2 linked regions of the Sus scrofa genome follow. The protein of the gene in region 1 purifies or fractionates together with the protein of each later gene. This does not show direct contact. Links are inferred from orthologs where the notes say so. Each region holds a gene or a part of one and is shown on either strand. Other genes may lie near its edges. The genes, in order: ABCC1 and VDAC3.

Region 1 (11,559 bases):
CGAAAGTCACTGCAATGTGGAGGGGAGGGATCCTGATGGTTTGGGGAGTAAGGAGGAAGGCTTCTTTAAAGAGGTATCTGAATTGGGTTTTGAAGGATGAATAGGAGTTTGTTATTGTGGGAAGAGTGCAAGGATAGTATCTAGCAAGAGGTATTCTAAAGAACCATTCGTTCGACCAGCAGTTGGGGAATGCCTAAAAGGCAGGGACCTTGGCTTTTCTCGATCTCCAGTGCCTTGAGCAATGCCTGACACAGGCTTGATAAACGCTACCTTGAGTGAATAGTCAAGTGGACATATTGGGGAACAGAGTGGGGGAAATTGCAGAAGAAGCAGGTGAAGCTGGCGTGTGAAAGACCTCTTGAGCCACAGCAGGGATTGGCTCTTAAAGGCGATCAGGAGCTGCTGGTGGTTATTGCCCAGGGGAGATGGGTAATAAGATCTGTCCCATTTTTTTATGTAAGTATTTAAGTCTGTGGCTTTTCCTTTAAGGAGGAGGAAAATGGGAAGACCTTTGGTGTCTTTGATCATAAAGAGAAAAAGAAGTTAAGCTGCAGTGAGGTATTTTCCACTGTGAGATTGGCAGCGATCAAAAGCTTGTAGCTTGGGAAGTCATTACCGTGTACCTTGTTAGATGGAGTATAAAGTGATGCTACCCATTTGGAGGCAGTGTCTGTTTAAATTTTAAATGCGTACTCCCTCTGATCTAGTGTTTGCTTTGGGTGAAATGAGGCACTTACTAGGTTATTTATTCACCGCTGCATTGTTTGTAAAAGCAACCCACTGTCCAGTCAGCAGGAGACTGGTTACATAAAGTTAAGTCCATCCATACAAAGAATAAGGATGTGTGCCGTGCAGGATGGTCCTTGAGACCTCTGATTAAGAGATGGAAGGAAGATACAGAACAGGATGTGGAGTGTGTTTCTTTCTACTTGCTAACAGAAAGTATGCATTTATTTGTATTGTATATGCATAAAGAATTTTTTGGAAGGACACAGAAGAAACTGACACTGTCGCCTCTAGTGAGAGGAACTAGGGGGTTAGGGGACCAGGTTTGGAAGGTGGCTTGTCACTTCCATCCTTTATTCAAAAGAAATAAAATTAAGCTATCAAAAATGAAGGAGATCGGAGTTGCTGTCGTGGCTCGGCAGAAACGACTGTGACGAGCATCCATGAGGATGCAGATTCCGTCCCTGGCCTTGCTCAGTGGGTTGGGGATCTGGTGTTGCTGTGAGCTGTGGTGTAGGTCGCAGATGCGGCTCGGTTCCCATGTGGCTGTGGCTGTGGTGTAGGCTGATGGCTGCAGCTCTGATTCAACCCCTAATCTGGGAAATTCCATGTGTCACAGGTGCAGCCCTAAAAAGACCAAAAAAAAAAAAAAAAAAAGACCTATGGCACTGGTAGAGATTGGTTTCTAATATTAGTTAAGTGAAAAAAGCACGGTGTGGAACCAGTATTGTATTATGGTACCTTTGGCAGAAACAAAGTAAGCTGTATTTGGAAGAGTAACAAGATGTTAGCAATGATAATTTGGCCTGTGGGGTAAGAGGGGGGTGCCGCTGGTTCAGGAAGGAGAACTTACTTTTCACAGTATGCCATTTTGTGTAGTTTGGGAAGGCTTCAGCACGTAAATAAATTATCTAGTGAAAGTGAATTAATACAAAAAGAGAGAGAGACATGGATGGATGCCTAGGTGGATGGGTGGGTGGGTAGATGGGTGGGTGGCTGGCTGCTTGGATGTGTGGGTTGTGGGAGTGGGTGGATGGAGAGATGGGTAGATGGATGGATGGATGCACTGGTGCATGGATGGGTGGGTAGGTGGATGGATGGGTTCACAGATGGGAGGATAATTCTGTCTGTGGGTGGATGCAGAGATGTATGGATAGATGAGCTGCCCTGAGGAGGACTAAGTGGGACCAGGACCGGAAGCAGGAAATGGGTAGGACGCTACTGCAAACCCAGGCAGGGGGTCATTGGGGCAAGGATCAGGTTATTGAAGTCTCACATACAAACTGAGCTTCTTATATACGTAACTGTATATATTAAGTCCTAGCATTGTTTTCTTACTAGAAAGGCAGATTCCTTTGGAATGAGCTTTTTCTGGCAATTGCTCAGAAACTGTTTTGTATGTAATAGCCACCAGCAGTTTAATCCCCTTTCCACCAGCAGCTTAAGAATTATAAGAGGTATGAATTCATCAAATTAGTCTTTGACATAAACCACAGCTCTTGATGACCAGATTCTTATTTCCAAGGCTGTCTTCTCAATGCCCATGTCCACAGAGGCGTGACCTTTATCCTTTTTCAGGTTTAGAAGTTTCCTAGCTAAATCCTTTGGTGTGTGTTGACCTGTTCAAATTTACTTTTCAGTGATTCCTTGTTCTTGGTTCTGGAAAAATAACCTTTCGTATCATCAAATAATTATACCTCTGAAGAACCAGTTTGAGTACTTGCTTATTTAATACCTAGGGCGTTCTGTCTTTTTTAAAGTCAAATTCTTGGGAGTTCCTGTTGCGGCTCAGTGGTAACGAACTCGACTGGTATCCATGAGGACACGTGTTCAATCCCTGGCCTGGCTCAGTGGGTTAAGGATCCGGCATTGCCTTGAGCTGTGTTGTAGGTCACAGATGTGGCTCCGATCCCATGTTGCTGTGGCTGTGGTGTAGGCCGGCAGCTACATCTCCGATTTGACCCCTAGCCTGGGAACCTCCATATGCCATGGCTGCAGCCCTAAAAAAGACCAAAAAAAAAAAAAAAAAAAAAGTCAAATTCTTCCTTTTTTTTTTTGCCTTGCCCAAGGTATGCAGAAGTTCCTGGACCAGAGGTTGAATCTGTGCCACAGCACTAACCTGAGCCAAAGCAGTGACAACACTGGATCCTTAACCACTAAGCCACCAGGGAATTCCAAATCTTATGTTTTCTTTCTTTTTTGACTGCCCCATGGCATCCGAAATTCCCAAGCCCACAGATCAGATCTGAGCCACATTGTCACTCAGCTGCAGCTGCGGCAACACCAGATCCTTAAGCCATCGTGCCAGGCCAGGGATTGAACCTGTGTCCCAGCGCTCCCAAGACACCGCAGATCCCGGTGCGCCACAGCGGGAACTCCCTTTCTTATTGAACCATCTTAATGTTTTTACGTGTACACTCCAGTAGTGTTAAGTATGCTCACGCTCTTGTGTGCAGCTAGGCCTCTTTTTTGAAAAGCTAGGAACAAATATTTTGATCGATCGTGAAATGTCTCTAAGTGAAATGATCCTCATGGTCCCATTGCTTTCTGTTCTTTAACGTTCTTTGATGTACTTGAGGTAGCTTGTGTGGAGTCCTCAGACTCCATGGTCCCTAGAGTTCCTTGGTGATCTCGTTTATCTGACTGTGGGAAGGCTGTTGGAGTCGGAGCTGCCTGGAGGTGTCTGGAGAGCTCATTGTCCGGTGGTGGAGAGAGGATGCTTGGGGAGGGGCTGCCTGGGGACTGGCCAGCTGGATTGCCTGCACCTTATCCAGAGACCAGCTACAACCTAGCCCCCCTTAATGATTGTGAAGTGGGAATATGGGCCCAGTGCTGCTAGTTTTCTGTTTTGTTTTTTTTTTAAAGAGATACCAGAAATCCATTTTTTTAAAATGTGAAATTTCCTGCTTTTAAATGTTGGCAGCTAACCTAAGTTTTTTTTTTTTTTTTTTGCTTGTTTTTTTAGGGCCACACCTGCTGCATATGGAAGTTTGTAGGCTAGGGGTCAAATTGGAGATGTAGCTGCTGGCCTACACCACAGCCGCAGCAACAGCCATGTGGGATCAGAGCCACCTCTTTGACCTATACCACAGCTCGTGGCAACACCGGATCCTTAACCTACTGAGTGGGGCCAGGGATTGAACCTTCATCCTCATGGATCCTACTCAGGTTCATTAACTGCTAAGCCACGAAGGGAACTCCACAGGTGGTTTCTGAGAAAATAAAAGTAATGAAAACAAATTTCTTTTCAGGGCTGGATAGCTTTAGTGGTTAAATGTGGGCACTTCAGAACCAAATCACACGAGTTTGAGTTTGAACAGTCAGATCATACCGACTGTTGAAATACTACACAGATCACTCAACCTCTCTGTGCCTTAGTTTTCCCTTCTGAAAAAGGAATGGTAATTATAGAATTAAAGGAGATAGTACATTTAAGGAATTTGGAATAGGGCCTGGAGCAGTCTGGGGAGTTTCTGTCATGGCTCAGCGGAAACAAATCTGACTAGCATCCATGAGGACCCAGGTTTGATCCCTGGCCTCGCTTAGTGGGTTAAGGATCCGGCGTTGCCATGAGCTATGGTGTAGGTTGCAGACGAGGTTTAGATCCCTCATTGCTGTGGCTGAGGCATAAGCTGGTGGTTGCAGCTCTGATTCGACGCCTAGCCTGGGAACCCCATATGCCACGGGTGTGGCCCTAAAAAAGCAAAAGCAAAAAAAAAATAACCTTGCAGATTGGGTGTTATCCATGCTGCTGACACTAATGGTGGTGATGATGATGAAAGTGACATGATAGAGCTGATTGGTGGTGTTGATGGTCCTGATGAAAGTGATGATGACGGTGCTGATGAAAGCAGTCGTGTGGTGATGATGCTGATTAAAGTGGTTGTGATAGGAGTTCCCATCGTGGCTCAGTGGTTAATGAACCCGTCTAGTATCCATGAGGACACGGGTTCGAACCCTGACCTTGCTCAATGGGTTAGGGATCCGGCGTTGCCTAGAGCTGTGGTGTAGGTCACAGACACGCTTGGATCCTGCATTGCTGTGGCTGTGGCGTAGGCTGGTGACTACAGCTTTGATTTGGCCCCTGGCCTGGGAACCTCCATATGCTTTGGGTGCGGCCCTAAAAAGACAAAAAACAAGAGAAAACAACAAAGAGAGAAAGTGGTCATGATAGTGATGATGCTGATGGTGATGGTGCTATTGATGCTGATGAAAGTGGTCATCATAGTGATGATGCTGATGGTGATGATGCTAATGATGCTGATGAAAGTGGTCATGCAGATGAAAGTGGTCATGATGGTGATGATGCTGATGCTCTTGATGCTGATGAAAGTGGTCATGATGGTGATGATGCTGATGGTGATGATGCTGATGATGCTGATGAAAGTGGTCATGATGGTGATGATGCTGATGGTGATGATGCTAATGATGCTGATGAAAGTGGTCCTGATGGTGATGATGCTGATGGTGATGATGAAAGTGGTCATGATGGTGATGATGCTGATGATGCTGATGCTGATGATGCTGATGAAAGTGGTCATGATGGTGATGATGCTGATGGTGATGATGCTGATGATGCTGATGAAAGTGGTCATGATGGTGATGATGCTGGTGGTGATGATGCTAATGATGCTGATGAAAGTGGTAATGATGGTGATGATGCTGATGGTGATGATGAAAGTGGTCCTGATGGTGATGATGCTGATGGTGATGATGCTGATGATGCTGATGCTGATGATGCTGATGAAAGTGGTCATGATGGTGATGATGCTGATGGTGATGATGCTAATGATGCTGATGAAAGTGGTCATGATGGTGATGATGATGGTGCTGATGAAAGTGGTCATGTTAGTGATGACAGTGATGCTGATGCCGATGGAGATCATGGTGTTGGGGGAGAATATTAGAAAGCTCTTAATTCACAAGATTGCAAAGGAGAAATGATTTATGTAACTAAAGGATGCCTCTGTTTCCAGAATACCTTTAGAGATTCCTCTAAACGGCAGTCTACCGTCTTTTGTACAATAATGGAACTTGCCACAGGTCCCAGGAACTTAACTGGTGGGTGAGAGGAGACATACCATCATCCCTCATTCCTTGTTTTGTGGTCTTTCTGGCTACCGCTCGTTCCAGTTTGCCTGTTCTCTCTGCGAGGGCCTCAGTTGTAGGGGTCTTGTCTGTTTTCTTAAAACCCACAGCAGCTGGTTTTGAACTCCACACTGGCCCCCTGCCCAAGCTCTTTAGGGCACCCCGTTGACCCTGAGCCTGTGTTTGTTTCCGCAGGAGTGGAACGTCACGTGGAACACCAGCAACCCCGACTTCACCAAGTGCTTTCAGAACACCGTCCTCGTGTGGGTGCCTTGCTCTTACCTCTGGGTCTGCTTCCCCTTCTACTTCCTCTATCTCTCCCGCCATGACCGGGGCTACATTCAGATGACACATCTCAACAAAGCCAAAACTGTAAGTCACGGGTTTTATCGTGATGTGTGTGTCAGGGTGTGGGTGTGCTGGGGTCGGGAGTGGTGGTTGTGAAAACTGTCATGTTTCTGCTACTTACTTGGCCCTGAGTTCCTTTTCTAGGAGACAGAATGATAACGTAATAGGAATTCCCATTGTGGCTCAGCAGAAATGAATTTGACTAGCATCCATGAGATTGCGGGTTCGATCCCTGGCCTCGCTCAGTGGATTAAGGATCTGGTGTTGCCGTGAGCTGTGGTGTAGGTTGCAGACATGGCTCGGATCTGGTGTTGCTGTGGCTATGGTGTAGGCCAGCAGCTACAGCTCTGATTGGACCCCTAGCCTGGGAACCTCCATATGTCGCGGGTGTGGCCCTAAAAAGACAAGGCAAAAAAAGAAAGAAGGAATAATAACCTCATAGGTAAAGGCTAGGGCTCTGGGTTCAGATGTGTGTTCAGATGTGGACTCTGCCACTGGCTCACTGTATGACCTTGAGCAAATGTCTTTTTTTTCTTCCGGTTTTATTGAGATATAATAGGCAGACAGCATGGTGTACGTTTAAGTGTACAGCCTAATGATTTGACGGGCATGCATCATGAAATGATTATTGCAGTAAGTTTCATGAACATCCACCATCTCATATAGATACTAAATTAAAGAACTAGAAAAAAAATTTTTTTCCCTTGAGCAGCTTTCTTAACCTCCCTGAGCCTCAGTTAACTTATCATATCAGTGGGGATGATAGACTTTATCTCAGGAGCTCATCCAGAGATTTGACCAAAGATGTCTTTTTAACTGAAAAAAGCTTTTATCTTGAAGAAATTTCAAACTACAGAGAAGTTGCAAGAACAGTACTTAGCACTCCCAGCAGCCTGGTATGCACCTTACTCAGTCACCAATTTTTAACATTTGCTACATGTTACATCATCCCTTTCTCCCCCCCCCTTTTTTTTTGGTCTATTTGGGGCCACACTCGAGGCATGTGGAAGTTTCCAGGCTCCGGGTTGAAAGACATGCTCAGAGCTGCAGCTGCCGGCCACAGCCACAGCAACATGGGATCCAAGCTGTGTCTGTGACCTATAACACAACTCACAGCAATGCTGGATCCTTAACCCACTGAGCGAGGCCAGGAATCGAATCTGCATCCTCATGGATACTAGTCGGATTTGTTACCACTGAGCCACCACGGGAACTCAAACCTCATCTCACTCTTTTGCTTTCTCCATAGATACATATTATTTATTTTTTCTGGATCATTTGAGAATAGCTAGCATCCATCCCGCCCCTTTACCCCTGATTCTTCAATATATCTTTTCTCGAAACAGGGATATCCTCTTACATAACAGGACAGTTATCAAGTTCAGGAAATTTAACATGGACATGATACTTAAAAAAAAAAAAAAAAGTCTACTATGAGAAGTTCCCTCCAAGGCTCAGTGGGTTAAGGATCTGACTGTGGCAGCTCAGGTCACTCCAGAGATGCCTGTTTGATCCTGGGCCTGGGGCAGTGGTTTAAAGATCTGGTGTTGCCAGCAGCTGTGGTTTAGGTCACAGCTGTAGCTGGAATTCCATCCCTGGTCCAGGAACTTCCATATGCTGCAGGTATGGCCACACACACACACACAAAAAAAAAAAACAAAACAAAAAAACTACTATGTATGTTCCATTTTTGTCACTTGTCCCAATACTACCCTTTCTAGCATCTCCACCCTCTTCCCCCCAGTCCAGGGTCATACACTGCATTTAGACACACTGTCTGTTTATTTTTCCTGTAATTTTGGAAGAATTGTTCACCTTTATTTTTTATGACACTGGCATATTTGGAGAATGCGGACCAGTTAATTTTGTCCGTTCCCCAACTTGGGTGTTGGGGCAACGTTTCCTCACGATTAGATTCAGCTAATGCCTGTCTGGCTAGAAAACTACAAAAGGGATGTGGGGTCCTTCTCTGGGTTACATCTAAGGCCCCTTGGTGTCCATCTGCCCCTCCCTGATTGGCTTGCATTTTTTTGGCCATGTCCATGGCCTGTGGCAGTTTCTGGCCCAGGGATGGAACCCGTATCCCAGCGGTGACCCAAGCCATAGCAGTAAGAATACTGGATCTTTAACCTGCTGCACTGCAGGGGAACTTCCTGATGGGCTTAATTTTGATCATTTGGTGGGTGTGTCTGCTTTCTCTACTGGGCAGGTTCTGGTTGTCCCCTGTAAGGATGAATGTTTTTGGGGAGACGTGGAGGATACCTGTACATCCTGTTCTTCATCCCTCTTTCTCCTCTTGGCGTGTGTCTGTCCTTTTTTATCTTTTTAGATTAAAATTTTTTTCTATACCATGTATCAGTTTTTTTTTTTTTTTTTTAATTATTGGAGCCTAGTCGACTTCCACTGTTGCGTTGGCTTTTGGCGCACAGCAGAATGCTTCCATTATCCATGTACGTACCCCATTCCTTCTCAGATTCTTCTCCCATGTAGATTATTACAGAGCATGGAGTTGATTTCTCTGTGCTGTACCCCAGGTCCTTGTTACTTAAGAATGTTAGATATAGAAGTGTGTCTTTATCAATCCCGACCTCCCGGTTTATTCCTCCCCCCAGTGTTTTCCCTTTGGTAACCATAGGTTTGGTTTTGAAATCTTCGAGTCTGTTTTGTGAGTAAGTTCTTTTGTATCTTTTTTTTTATGTCGGATTCCACGTATTAGTGATCGCATATGAAATTTGTCTTTATCAGTCCTTTTTTTTTTTTTTTTTTTTTTTTTGGCTGTGCCTGTAGCATACAGAAATTCACAGGCAAGGGATGAAACCCACAGCACAGCAGTGACCCAAGCCATAGCAATGACAATGCCAGGTCCTTAACTTGCTGAGCCACTGCGGAACTCCTATCAGGACTGTATTGCCCAAGATTTATTTCCATAAGCCCTTGGCAAACAGGAAAAACTTGAGTGATTTTACTGAAGCTGTCTCCTCGCCCTTAATACTGCCACCCAAATCCATCTCATTCGGACCACAATCCAAGCCTATCTCAAAATGCTGTCTGCTCCCCTGTCCTCAACTAGATACAGTGTCTTCTTCTTAGACCTCTGGGAGCACTTTGTACTTTTCTTGGGGAAGAATATCTCCCTTTAAAAGCTAAATCAGATTTTGTTCATGCCTTGCTCAACAGCCCTCTGGCAGCTTCTCTTCACAGGGAATAACATCTGGACGTCCTCCTACAGGCCCAATTCAATCTGGCTCCAGGCTCCTCTTCAGCCACCTCCTACCACACACGCAGCCCATGCCACAGCAGCCACAGACCTGCTGAACACATTCCTACCTCAGGACCTTTGCACCTGCTGTTTCCTCTGCCTGACTTGTTCTTTCCTTCAAGTAGTCACTCTTGGCTCTTTACCCAGATGTCTCCTGATCAGAGAGGCCTTCTCTGACCACCCTGTCTTACCTGTTTTATTTCACCTCGTGTCATTTGTTCCTCTCTGGTATGAAAGTATGTATTTTTTATTTATTTTATTTTGTTTTTTATTTAAAAATTATTATAGTTGATTTATAATGTTCTGTCAATTTCTTTCGTACAGCAAAGTGACCCAGATTGTATGTATATACATATATACATTCTTTTTCTCACCTTATCCTCCATCATGTTCCATCACAAGTGATTAGATCCAGCTCCCTGTGCTATGCAGCAGGATCTCATTGCTTATCCACTCCAAATGCGATAGTTTGCCTCTACTAGCCCCAAACTCCCAGTCCATCCACTCCCTCTGCCTCCCCTTTGGCAACCACAAGTCTGTTCTCCAAGTCCATGAATTTCTTTTCTGTGGAAAGGTTCATTTGTGCCGTATATTAGATCCAGGTATAAGTGAGATCACATGGTAGTTATCTTTCTCTTTCTGACCTACTTCACTTAGCATGAGAGTCTCTGTTCCACCCATGTTCCTACAAAGTAAGTATGTATTTTTTAGATTGTTGCTTGCCTGTTTCCTGCCAGGGGAATCAAAGCTCCATGAAGGCAGGGACTTTTGTCTGTTTTTTTCTCTGTTGTATCCTTGTCACCTTGGGGAGTATGTGGCCCATAGTTAGACCCCCAGTAAGTTCTGGTTGGATGCATGATGCTGTTGATACCTGGCCATTATGTGAGGGGCCCCGTGCTGGCTGCCAGGGTTGCGGATGTAGATGAGCCGGAGACTTGAGTTTTCAGGTGCCGAGGAGAATACTGAGCAGACAAATAGACTTGTGTCTGGGGTGTGGGAGGGGCTGCAGACCAGTATGTGACGGCCCCGATGGTGGCTCCCCCTACCTTGGGCTCGTCTGTGTTGCATAGGGTCCGTGCTGACTCCAAAGACCACAGCTGATGGTTTGGGGGTTGGCTGGTCCTCTAGAGGCTAGGCCTTTTGCAGGGATGCTGGGGGAAGTTCCGGTGCCAGCCATTGTAAGATGTACATGTACTTCTCTTTCAGGCCTTGGGATTTTTGCTATGGATTGTCTGCTGGGCAGACCTCTTCTACTCTTTCTGGGAAAGAAGTCTGGGCAAGCTCCTGGCCCCAGTGTTTCTGGTCAGCCCAACCCTCTTGGGCGTCACCATGGTAAGTAGGGGCTGGCACTGTGGAGACCAAAAGTAGTGGCTGGCATTTAGAAACAACAGGATCTCCCAGTAGAAATCCAGCAATCTGGCTGTGTTAGGTGAATTTGGTTTGGTCTTGTGGGGGGCCCAGAGAGGAAAGGGTGATGGAGCTAAGGCCCAAAGGATGAGCAGGGTATCAAAAAGTTGAAGGGACTGGGGGCATAGGATGATCCAGCTGCAGAGAATAGCACATTCAAAGGTCCTGGGGTGGGGTAGAGGGAGAAATTGAGAGTTGGTCTGTGTGCTGGGGACAGAGAGAGTGAGGAGGAGCGGAGGGGGCTGGGACGGCAGGAAGGGCAGAGGGCTGACCATATAGGACCTTGAGCTTCAGGGTAAGTGGGTTCTATCTTGTTTTTCATCCCCAAAGCTGGGTTCTAAACCTTTTTTAAATGCCATGGGTCCCTTTCTTCTTTACCAGTCCTGTCTCCTTCTCAAAAAAATGTTCTTAAAGTCATAAAACATACAAGCTAACAAAAGAAACCATCCTACACACACACACACACACACACACACACACACACACACACGTGCAATTTTGTGATGTGCATTTGTATTTTTACTGAAGTTTAATTTATGTAAACCTTTTTCCTTGAACAATTCATGAGTTTTGACGAACAGATGGTGTCAGGTTAGGTACCATCTCCACATTAGGGATATAGGACAGTTCCATCATCCCACAAAGTTCCCTGGCATGGGCCCCTTTGTCGTCAGCCCTTCCCTCCCCCACCTCCTCCGCTGGCAACTGCTGCTGTGTTTCCTGTCCCTATG
Region 2 (11,624 bases), on another chromosome or scaffold:
ACATGGAAGTTCCCAGGCTAGGGTTCGAATCAGAGCTACAGCTGCCAGCCTACACCACAACCACAGCAACGCTAGATCCGAGCTGCATCTGTGACCTACACCACAGCTCATGGCAACGCCGGATCCCCAACCCACTGATCGAGGTCAGGGATCAAACCCTCGTCCTCATGGATACTAGCCGGTTTCACTACCGCTGAGCCACAAGGGAGCTCCTTGGTTAGCTTTTCTTTACCTTGGTTCCTTCCGCCCCCTTGTGGCCAAGAGTGAAGTGAACACCCAGAAGGCCCAACGTAAGTTCCAGGTACTGATCCCAGAGGCATTTTCCAGCTTGGGAGGGAAATTCTCTATGGAACAGAACCCCTTCTCATGAACCTAGGTACTTCCCCATCTTATGAAAGTGAGTTCAAGTTTTCTAATTACAATAGAAACACGTTTTGTTCCACCCTTATTTTTTTAACTGATCATCAAATTTACCAAAACACATGGCTGTACCATATTTCAGAATATGAATGTATTATAGTTTAAGAAATCCTTTAAATGTTGGCCATTTAGGTTGCTTTTAATTTTTTTGCTACTGTAATTCATTCAAGATATTCAAAATAAATCTTTGCACAAGTCTGTTTCCTTGAGTCCAGTCCTCAGACATAGAATGTCAGGGTATGAAATTAACATAAAATATAAAACAACATAGTCTTGAATCTCTGTCCCTTGTGCTGGGAGCCCTTTCCCTCTCATCCACCTGACTCATCCTTTCACCGCTGGGTCCCTGGGCTCCGAAGTTTCCTTGGAAGAGGCCCAGGGACAGGGCTTGCACCTCCTCTTCTCCAAAGTTGCCATCAGCTACTCGATGCATCCTCGCCCTCAGTGTCAGAATTCTGGAGTCCTTGAAAACAAGTGGGCCCTTTCTTTTTAAAGAAACAGGGACTTAAATAACACCACTGACAGAGTTCCCGTTGTGCCTTAGCAGTAAAGAACCTGACTAGTATCCATGAGGATGAGAGCTCAATCCCTGGCCTTGTTCAGTGGGTTAAGGATCCAGCATTGCCAAGAGGTGTGGTGTAGGTTGCAGAGGTGGCTCGGATCCTTCCTTTCTGTGGCTGTAGCTAGAGGTTGGCAGCTACAGTTCCAATTTGACCCCTAGCCTTGGAACTTCCATATGTCACAGGTGCGGCCCTAAAAAAGACAAAATAAATAAATAATACCATGGCTTCAGAATCTTAATTTTCCTTCCACTCAGGGCCATGGAGTCGTCAAACCTTCACAGTGGGGCTTCTCAATTTCGTGGGGTCTTTTTTTCTTTTCTTTCCTTTTTTTTTTTTTTTTTTTTTTTTTTTTTTGGTCTCTTTGCCTTTTTCTATGGCCGCTCCCGTGGCATATGGAGGTTCCCAGGCTAGGGATCTAATCGGAGCTACAGCTGCTGGCCTACGCCAGAGCCACAGCAATGCAGGATCCGAGCCCCGCCTGCAACCTACGCCACAACTCACGGCCACACCAGATCCTTAACCCACTGAGCAAGGCCAAGGATCGAATCCGAAACCTCATGGTTCCTCGTCGGACAACGGGAACTCCTGTTTTTCATTTCTGAAGGAAAAACTATACTAACCTAAGATTCTCCCTCCCAAAGGTACTCAGGCAGATGAGCAAGTTTTCCGATTAGAGCAGGTGATCTGTGTTGGGGGCCCCCCTGGAACGCACATGGCATGCACAGGTCAGGGACATGTCGGGGTGTGTGCTCAACCATGAGCACGGTGCCCTGTACATAATGAGCACTTGGCAAATGTCTCAGCAGCAAAGTCTAAAGCCCTGTCCCTGCTCTAAATTTCTGACTCCAGAGATTTTACAGGAGAAGAACGCCATGTTATTAGGATTTTTTCCTATGCTTTCTGCACGTCCCCAGAGTTTTAGAGCCCAGTGTGTGCGTGCATGCATTTGTGTGTGTGTGTGTGTGTGTGTTGGCAGGGTGAGAACCTGCTATAATTTGGAGGTGGCCAAGGCCAGAGGCTTGATATGGATGTTCAGTTATAACGTGGATCCTGCTTAGCCGACAGGACCAGAGGGACAGGAAGCAAAGGAATGATTCCCTCTGCAGCTGCTGTTTTCCTTAATTTCTTTCATCACTTTCCTGCAGCACGTGCTGGGGGAAAGAGGAGTCTCTCCGTGCATGACCTGGGACAGGTGTTTTCAGGAGAAAAGTCTTTGGGATTTCCCTTGTGGCCTAGCAGATTAAGAATCCGACGTTGTCACTGCTGTGGCACCAATTTGATCCTTGGCCAGGGACCCTCTGCACGCCTCGGGCATGAAGCCAAAGGAAGAAATGTTGCCAAATTCCCATTCAAAGTGCCTTTACAAGGAGTTCCCATTGTGGTTCAGCGGTAACGTGCCAGACTAGTATCCATGAGGTTTCAGGCTCAATCCTGGCCTTGCTCAGTGGCTTAAGGATCCAGCGTTGAAGTGAGCTGTGGTGTAGATTGCAGACATGGCTCAGATCCCGAGTTGCCATGGCTATGGAGTAGGTCTGCAGCTACAGCTCTAACTGGACACCTAGCCTGGCTTTCATATGCTGCAGGTGCAGCCCTACAAAGGAAAAAAAAAAGTGCTTTTTACAACCTTTAATGGCCTGCTTTACCAGACAAAGGCCACGTCTGTGTCAAAGTACAGGCTGGAGTTCTGGTTCTGATATTCATATGTACCTGAATAAACAGAGGTTTGCCTGTATAGCTTTGAATCACTTACAGCGTATTTTCATCTTGTGTAATTAACTAAAGAACACTTTCCATATGTCAGGTAGATTGTTATGTGCTATGGACACATGATTTCGCTTACTATCCACTTCAACACTCTGAAGCAGACCTTACTTAGTTATGTTGCATGGACGTAGAAGCTGAGCATAGAGAGGTTAAGCCGCTCAGCAAAGACCAGAGTTGGCCGAGCTGAGATACACACCCAGGCTCTTTTGACTCCAAAGCTCATTTTATTTAGCCTACTAAGTTATATTTGCTTTGCTGATAACATTGATCTTATTCTGCCTTCTTTGGCAGGTATTTGTCCAAGTCTTCCATTATGAGTCCTTTGGGAGCATTCATCTCACTTATCTCTTATTAGCCTGAAATGCTTTACCTCCAGCAGGGAAATAATATTTGTCTTTTTTTTGTTTTTTGTTTTTTCTAGGGCCGCTCCCACGGCATATGGAGGTTCCCAGGCTAGGGGTCCAATCGGAGCTGTAGCTGCCGGCCTACGCCAGAGCCACAGCAACGCAGGATCCGAGCCGTATCGGCAACCTACACCACAGCTCACGGCAACCCCAGATCCTTAACCCATTGAGCAAGGCAGGGATCGAACCTGCAACCTCATGGTTCCTAGTCAGATTTGTTAACCACTGTGCCACAACGGGAACTCCCAATATTTGTCTCTTGATTCAAGCAGCAATCTGGTATCAATGACTGAATATCAAAGACTTCGTGGGGGTTTTTTCTCCCTAATTTTTTGTTTTGAAAAAAAATTTGTTTTGGCTGTGTCCAATACACATGGAAGTTCCTAGGCCAGAGATCAAACCCCTGCCACAGCAGTGACCCAAGCCACAACAGTGACATTGCTGGATCCTTAATACACTGTGCCACAAGGGAACTCCTAGTTTGAAAAATTTTAAACTTCTAGCAAAGTTTAAAGAATAATGCAACAGGAGTTCCCGTCGTGGCGCAGTGGTTAACGAATCCGACTAGGAACCATGAGGTTGCAGGTTCGGTCCCTGCCCTTGCTCAGTGGGTTAACGATCCAGCGTTGCCGTGAGCTGTGGTGTAGGTTGCAGACGCGGCTCAGATCCTGCGTTGCTGTGGCTCTGGTGTAGGCCAGTGGCTGCAGCTCCGATTTGACCCCTAGCCTGGGAACCTCCATATGCCGAAGGAGCGGCCCAAAAAATAGCAAAAAGACCAAAAAAAAAAAAAAAAGAAAAAAAAGAATAATGCAACAAACATCCATATATTATCCAAACTTTTTAAAAAAAAAATCATTTATTTTTTGTCTTTTTTTCCCTCTTTTTTTAGGGCTGCACCCATGGCATATGGAAGTTCCCAGGCTAAGGGCTGAATAGGAGCTGTAGCTGCTGGCCTACGCCACAGCCACAGGAAGGCCAGATCCGAGCCATGTCTGTGACCTACACCACAGCTCATGGCAATGCCAGATCTTTAACCCTCTGAGCAAGGCCAGGGATTGAACCCGCATCCTCATGGATACTAATCAGATTTGTTTCCGCTGAGCCATGACGGGAACTCCTCCCAACTCTTAACATTTTGTACGTTTTTTCCTTCTTTCTTGACCATTTGATATTTTGCAGTCACATGCTATTTTACCCCTAAATACTTCAGCACATATCTCCTAAAAAGCAGGCCATTTCTCTGTAATCGGGGTATAATCATTACCCTCAGAAAATTTTACATTATCATCCTAATATTGTCGATATTAAAATCTTCTCCATTGTTCCAATAATGATCCTCAAAGGTTGCTTTTTGTTTTTTGATGGAGGGTGCAATTTAGGATCATATTCCTCTCGTCACATCTTTGTTTTGTCTCTTTGCTTTAGAACAGTTCACCAACCTTTTTCTTACTATCTCATGAAACTGACATTTCAGAAGAGACCAGGTGGTTGTTTTGCAGACTGTCCCTCAATTTGGATTTGTCCAGTTGTTTCCTTATGAATAGACAAATCACTCCTTTGGCAAGAATAGGAGCACATGATGTCAGTCTGTACCATCCCAAGGTTGATCACTTGGTTGAGGGTGATTTCTTTGATGTAAAGGTACTCTTTTCTCTTTACTAAGTAATCTGTAGGATGATTGGAATTGTAGGAATATCCTCAATCATTCAGCATCTACTGGTAATTTTTGCTTGAGTTAATTACTGGTGGTTCCAAAGTGGTGACTTTCTATTTCTATAATTTTTTGCTACATTTATGAGTTGGAATTCTTCTCTAAAGAAGTGTTTTCTGTCCTCCAGCGGCTCCTCTCTCTTTGAAATTATAACCTACCCTGTGTCATCTTGATGAAGTCATGTCTCTTACTGCCTCGGCATCTGTTTTCTCATCCTTAAGATGAGATGACCTAAAAGCCACATTCTTGAATGTTGTCATTCTGAGACGAAATCCCCATACAGACTTGCCAGGCATCCTCAGAAAACAGCGCGCAAGTTGCTTGGGCCAGCATCTATCGCGGAGTGGGCGGTGCCTCAGCAACTCCGCCGCGCGGCCCCGCGGCCCCTCCCCTGGCAACGGTTACTATTAACCTCTCCTTCTCGCGAGAGGGGCCTCTTTCGGGGCAGAGGTGCGGTCCCGGGGCCTGCGCGCTCCACGTCAACCACCGCCCAGCCCTGCGCGCTGGGTGCCGAAGCGCACGCGCGCACTCGCGCACTCGGACAGTTGGAGGTGTTGGTCCGCCTCGGGCCCGCGGCGCGCGACCCCGGCGCGACACGCACGCGCGCAGCCGCGGCGCGCAGCCGCGGCGCGGGGCTCGGGGCGCGCAGGCGCCGCGGGCGTGGGGCCGCGCAGGCGCGGACGGCGTTGGTCTGAAGAAGACCTTCAGCCGTGCCCTGGCGGATCCGACAGGCCCTCGTAGCGGAGCCGACAGGCCCTCGGGTAGGAGGTGAGGCAAGCGGGGCCCCCGGGCTGGCGGCTGGGGCGGGGCGGCTGGGGCGGCGACTGGCAGGGGCCCGACGGGAGGCGGCTAACGGAGGGCACGGGAGGAGAGGGTCGCCTAACGGGGCGCGGGCCGGCGGAAGGCGGGGCAGCGGGGACTGGCCCCTCAGGTGATGGGACGCCGCTCCGCCACCTGCTCCCCTCCTTGCCGGCCACTGGGGCCCTCGCCGGGCGTCGGGTCGGCCGGGAGGTTGGTTTTGAGGGAAGTTGGGTCTTCGAACCCCGAACTCACTCGCGCCCCCGGCTTTCTCTCCGGAGTCGGCGTCCAGCTTCGGGGGTCTTCCACTCCCTGCGGCCGGAGGGAGGATGCTGAATGCACTGCTTGACGAGCTGCCGGTCCCGTTAGTGATGGTGTAAAGCTGTGTTGCTAACCCACTCCCTCCCCCCGACTGCGGCTAATGCAGCCCCGGAACGCCGTGCACGTCCACGGGCGAGTGCACTTGTAGAGTAATGGAAACGTGTGGAACGTGAAGTCTTCTCGAGCTTTTGCTTGATCATACCAGCAGTGCATTTCCCATCAGAATCACGGGCCTGAAGAAATAAGCTTGAACCAGGCGAACTTGAGGTCAAATCCCCTATACAACTTTTGCAAAGTGTCTGGCAGTAGTTTTGAAAACGAGGCACAATGCTAAGAAAGATTGTAATTGGTTCCTAGATGATGTTTCTAAACATTTAAGTGTATCTTTTCTCTTGTCAATAGATTAAGGCTTTACAGTCTAGTTTTGTTTTTTAACGTTTCTGTTTGAATATATAGTGCCTGCTTTTCTCTGCTTATCTCCCAACCTATAGACTTCTGACACAATTTCAACAGATACCTGCGTCAGTTGTGATCATAAAGAATACTATCAGATTGCAATTGGCAGGGTGTAAAAAGTCTAGAATTGATTATTTGAACACAAGGGAGTGAATTGTAAATTAATTTCTCTGGACCTGAACTATGAAACCTTGTGGTTTAAACCAAAGTTTTATTATGCTATGACTCAGTACATTTATCTTCTTTTATCTTTTCTATACGCTTTCCTCTTAACTTTGTATGTATTTTTATACTATATCATACTGTCTATCGTATTTGACAGGTCTAAGTTAAGAAAGAAATTTTAAATGGATTCACAATTAAGAAGTACACCATAGGGGTTCCCATCGTGGCTCAGTGGTAATGAACCCAACTAGTATCCATGAGGATACAGGTTTGATCCCTGACCTCGCTCGGTGGGTTAAGGATCCAGCATGGCCCTGAGCTGTAGTGTAGGTTACAGAGGTGGCTTGGATCCTGCGTTGCTGTGGCTGTGATGTAGGCCAGCAGCTGTAGCTCCGATTAGACCCCTGGCCTGGGAACTTCATATGCCAAGGGTGAGGCCCTAAAAAGACCAAAAAAAAAAAAAAAAAAAAGGAGGTACCATAAAGTGTGTGTTGTGTTCAGGTGTGTTGGGATGGGACAGAAACTTAGCAGAGGGCCAGATTAAGAGCTAGGCTAAATATAAATAAATAGCAGATTGAATGTGTATTTGCTCCAGGCATAGCAATAGCAAGGGCTAGCTGGTGCTCTAGATTTTTCTAGAGTAATGGGGAGTAGTAATGGGGTTGCTTGAAGCAGTTCTACAGTTGGTTAGACATGGCTTTTGAGGATACTGTAGGAGGAGATTTCCTGTTCTGCAAAGAGGGCAAAGGAAGCAGCAGTGTCGATAGGCCTGAAGATTTTGATGTGAGGGTCATATTGGCAGCAGAAAGGCTGTCTGAATAGTAAGTAGACAGGGTGAAAGATCAAGCAAGCACCTTGGGTTTTTGAAGGCTTTAACTTGAGAGTATACACTGATTTTTGTTAAGCCGATTACTTCAGGTAGAATCTAGCCTATTTCTGGCTAATAGGTAAGATTATAATACTTTATTTTAAGAGCTTTGAGAGAGGGCATATTCTGGATGGGTGTATTTCACTTATTCTTAGTTTAAGGACTGAATTTCAGAGTAGCCAAAATGTTAACCCTGAAGATTTTAAATTGCATCTCTTTTTCAGTTCCTCAGAAAATTTACCTTGTCATCTTATACAGCTCTTTGGCTTTATAACAGCCCAAGAAATACTTTTCTAATGTAAGTTTTTGCATTTTTAAAAAGTAAAAATATAGTTTTAAAAAAGCGTCTCCTTCAGCCTGTGAGAAATTTCTTTTCTTGGAAAGAGGTCAGAAAGATGACCTCTGTGAGTCTCATGAAAAAACCCTTTTATTCTCCAGTGTTCTGGAAAGCTCTTTTTAAAGGAGCAGAATGCTTTCTCTTAACCTTGCTGCATTAGGGTATAAGCATTAACGATGCAGAGGAAGAAAAAAATGTATACCTCTTTTCACAGGACCAAACAGTTGAACACAGAATAAATGCAAAATGGTTATTTTCATTCCTTTGTCCTCATTTTTTTTTTAAGATATGTGTAACACACCAACTTACTGTGATCTAGGAAAGGCTGCCAAGGATGTCTTCAACAAAGGATATGGTAAGTGTGCTATTGTAAATTACCAATTTGGGTAAGCATTAATACTGTATATATTAAGCTATATGGGAGATACTGTACTTGATAAAATGAGGTTAAGTCAACATTAATCTATTTCATAAGATTTAAGGGGATAACTATTAGCAGATTACTAGATCTCTTTTTTTTTTAGAGTTAGAGGCCCTCAAGCATTAAAAACCATTGTGTACATAAGCACATTTGCGTATTTTATATTATCTTTTGGGTGAAATAATATAAATCTGCAATATTTTGCTAGGGCCTTTTGCTAGGCCCTGGGGACAGTTAAAGTAGGGGACATATTTTTGCTCCTCCAAATAATGACAGTGCTTTCATTATTTGAGTGAAGATACAGCTTTTGACTTCTTTGGAGGAACATAGAGTGTTTGAAACCAAATAGACATTTATCTTTGGTGTTTAAATTTTTAATTTTTCGTGTTGTACTCATTTGATTTTTTATTTACTAATAATGTTAATTGTGTATTTTTATATTTAAAGCTTGTGTATATGTCTACATAATTTCTCTTAATTTTGATTCTTAAAATAGTATATGTTCCTTTCATCCATTTGTTTTTTAACTCATTTCAAAAATATGCCTTTAGTATTTTGAGGGACTTAAAAATTATACTTATTTTGTTATAATTCAGTTTCTTGTGGAACTCCCACTTAGTGAGAATACTGTGTATTTTCCATATAAAATGTACTGTGGAGTATTTTCATAATTTCTAAGTTGCAAAGACTAGAGTGCATGTTACATTTTGTACATTACTGTGTTTTTATGTGTGTGTCTAGGGTTTGGCATGGTCAAAATAGATCTGAGAACCAAGTCATGTAGTGGAGTGGTAAGTACTTAATGTATTTTTAATATATTTGACATAATTATCTTAAAGAAACCTGTTTAAAAATCATTGTTTTTTTTTTTTTTTTTTTTTTTTTTTGTCTTTTTAGAGCCGCATCCACAGCATATGGAGGTTCCCAGGCTAGGGGTCCAGATGGAGCTATAGCTGCCAGCCTACACCACAGCCACAGCAACGCCAGATCTGAGCAGCGTCTGTGACATGCACCACAGCTCATGGCAATGCCAGATCCTTAACCCACTGAGTGAGGCCAGGAATCGAACCCACAACTTCATGGTTCCTAGTCAGATTCGTTTCCGCTGCACCATGGCAGGAACTCCTAAAAGTCATTGTTTAGTCAGATTACTTGAATCACATGCTTTTCCTGCTAAGCTGTCTTCCCTACAGTCTTCTCCTCCTCTCAGGGAGACCCTTTGTGTCTGTCATAATAAGAGTGTTCTGAGTCTTATTCTTAAAAGGCGTGGTGTATGTATACACACACACACGTATATATGGGGGCATATATATATATATATATATATATATATTCCCATGTATATGCATTTTTTTTTGACCTATGCCATATCTTTATGCTTTCATGAATATGTATGTGGACACTAAAATCTTTGCCTCCATTATACTGGGTTCATGCAAATTTTATTGTCTTTTTATAAAAACAAAACTGATTTTAATCCTTTCATGATTAGTTGAAACAAATGTAGAAATACATGTAGAAGATTAGTCTACAGTACAGTTTTTATTGATGTTCATGAAATCTTTTTTACTGGAAGTTAAGAATATGGTAAGGGCTTATCAGCATATTGTCACAGCACCTTTAACTAGAGCTTTTATTCAGTAAGTCTCAGCATGTCAACTTGAGAGTCAATTTAGTCTTTGACTTCTCCTTATTGACTGTACCTTTTTTGTTTGGTATTTACCTGTTCGAACCAGTGCAAATTGTATTTCTGGATATAATGATTTAATTATAAAGATAAGAAGCACGTGGAGTAGTTATGGTACTGTGCCTTACATTCCGTATAATCCTGGTTTGTCACTATTATTCTTTCCCTGGGTTTTCCAAGGGTAAATATGTATATATCTGCCCTTCAGGATGGGATTTTGTTATATTGTCTGTTAAAATAGAAAATTTATACTCATTTCGATTAGGGTTTCTAAATTTGCTCAGGGTAGGTTTCTGTTGCAAAAATCAACAACTGAAATTTTTATCTCCCTCTCATGCTGCTGTTGTGTGGAAATATTCATTCAGATGGTAAGAAAAATAGCATATTTGTGTGCTTGTTTTTATGGCTGCTTTTTCTCTGGTACTGATTTAGGATAAATTTCAACCATTGCTCCAAATTTCTTAGATCATATCTTGATATTTTTGTGATACGTCATCTATAACAGTAACATGTTTATGAGTGTTTTGTTGTATACTAGCATTTAATGGAAAACTGTAGATATTATATGCATGTTATAAATAAAAATTTTACACTAGATAATTGTTTTATCTAATTATGCAATTAGACTAGAGTGGAAGTAACTGTGAGACTGGAACTCTGCTTAGGAAAATTCTGACCTTCTCTTTGAGATTTGTACCTCTGGCATTTTAGATTTTTGATAGAGCTTCAGACTAAGAAATGTCTGCTGATAATAAGAAAGAAATGTAGACTAAATACTCTTTTACCTTTTTTGCACGAAAATTAAGGTTTGTATTTGCTAATCTTTCAAGTTTATAAAAGGTACATATGAAAAATAAAGCATTAGGTAGTTAGATATATTAAAAGAAAGCGATATGACCTGTTAAACATGACCAGCATTTATCATTTTTTACCAAGGCCTTGCCTAAGTGTGCAGCATGATACTCTCTTTGAAAGCTTTCTGTGTGGTGCTGATAAACAGATCACAGTTTCCCAGTTGTTTCAACAGCTCATAGAACAAGAGTTGGGAGGAGGGTATTTGGTGAAGGGAGGATTCACACTGCAGGCAGTGAAACAGCTTGGCGGCCTTTGATGCCTGGTGGCAGTATTTCAGAAATGTTCTTTAAAAACAGGGCCAATCAGAATGTTTTTTCCTTGACAGTTGATAGACTGTCAGTGACAGGTGTTGACTGTTGGTATCCCTAGAAGGAGGTCAGTTTCTCATTGCTTATTGTCATGTGGCTGAAGGAATACCAAACTGGGGAGGAGGATATATTTTCAGGCACTCATAGTAACTGTTTGACAGAAAGTACTTTGAAAGGTAGATGGGGGAGAGGGAGGAAGAGGGAATAGTTAGAATATTCCATTTTATTATGAAAAATGGAATGATCCTTTCAAATATTGAAATTGTTTATGTGGAAAATTTTACAGATAGTTTTGTGGGTAAAAGCTGTAAGCCTTCCTAACAGTGAGAATTTATTTAATGCCAGTGAACTATACACATAAACATGGTTAAAATTGGGAGTTCCCATTGTGGCTCAGCAGGTTAAGAACCCAACATAGTGTCTTTGAGGATGCAGGTTCCATCCCTGGCCTCACTCAGTGGATTAAGGATCCAGCATTGCCTTAAGCTGTGGTGTAGGTCACAGACACAGCTTGGATCCTGCATTGCTATGGCTGTGGCTGGTGTA

What was found.
Region 2: the proteins of ABCC1 (region 1) and VDAC3 fractionate together in Homo sapiens (co-fractionation; 3 studies listed by BioGRID). This does not show direct contact. The link is inferred for Sus scrofa from reciprocal best matches to the Homo sapiens genes ABCC1 and VDAC3.

The regions. Positions count from the first base shown.
Region 1 is NC_010445.4:28,467,369-28,478,927, reverse strand, and holds the start of ABCC1 (multidrug resistance-associated protein 1), read left to right. Parts: upstream 1-5,987; 5' UTR 5,988-6,159; coding exon 6,160-6,186; intron 6,187-10,627; coding exon 10,628-10,753; intron 10,754-11,559.
Region 2 is NC_010459.5:11,404,904-11,416,527, forward strand, and holds the start of VDAC3 (voltage-dependent anion-selective channel protein 3), read left to right. Parts: upstream 1-5,481; 5' UTR 5,482-5,630; intron 5,631-8,093; 5' UTR 8,094-8,095; coding exon 8,096-8,162; intron 8,163-8,969; coding exon 8,970-9,019; intron 9,020-10,280; coding exon 10,281-10,283; intron 10,284-11,624. UniProt on the Homo sapiens protein: Non-selective voltage-gated ion channel that mediates the transport of anions and cations through the mitochondrion outer membrane and plasma membrane.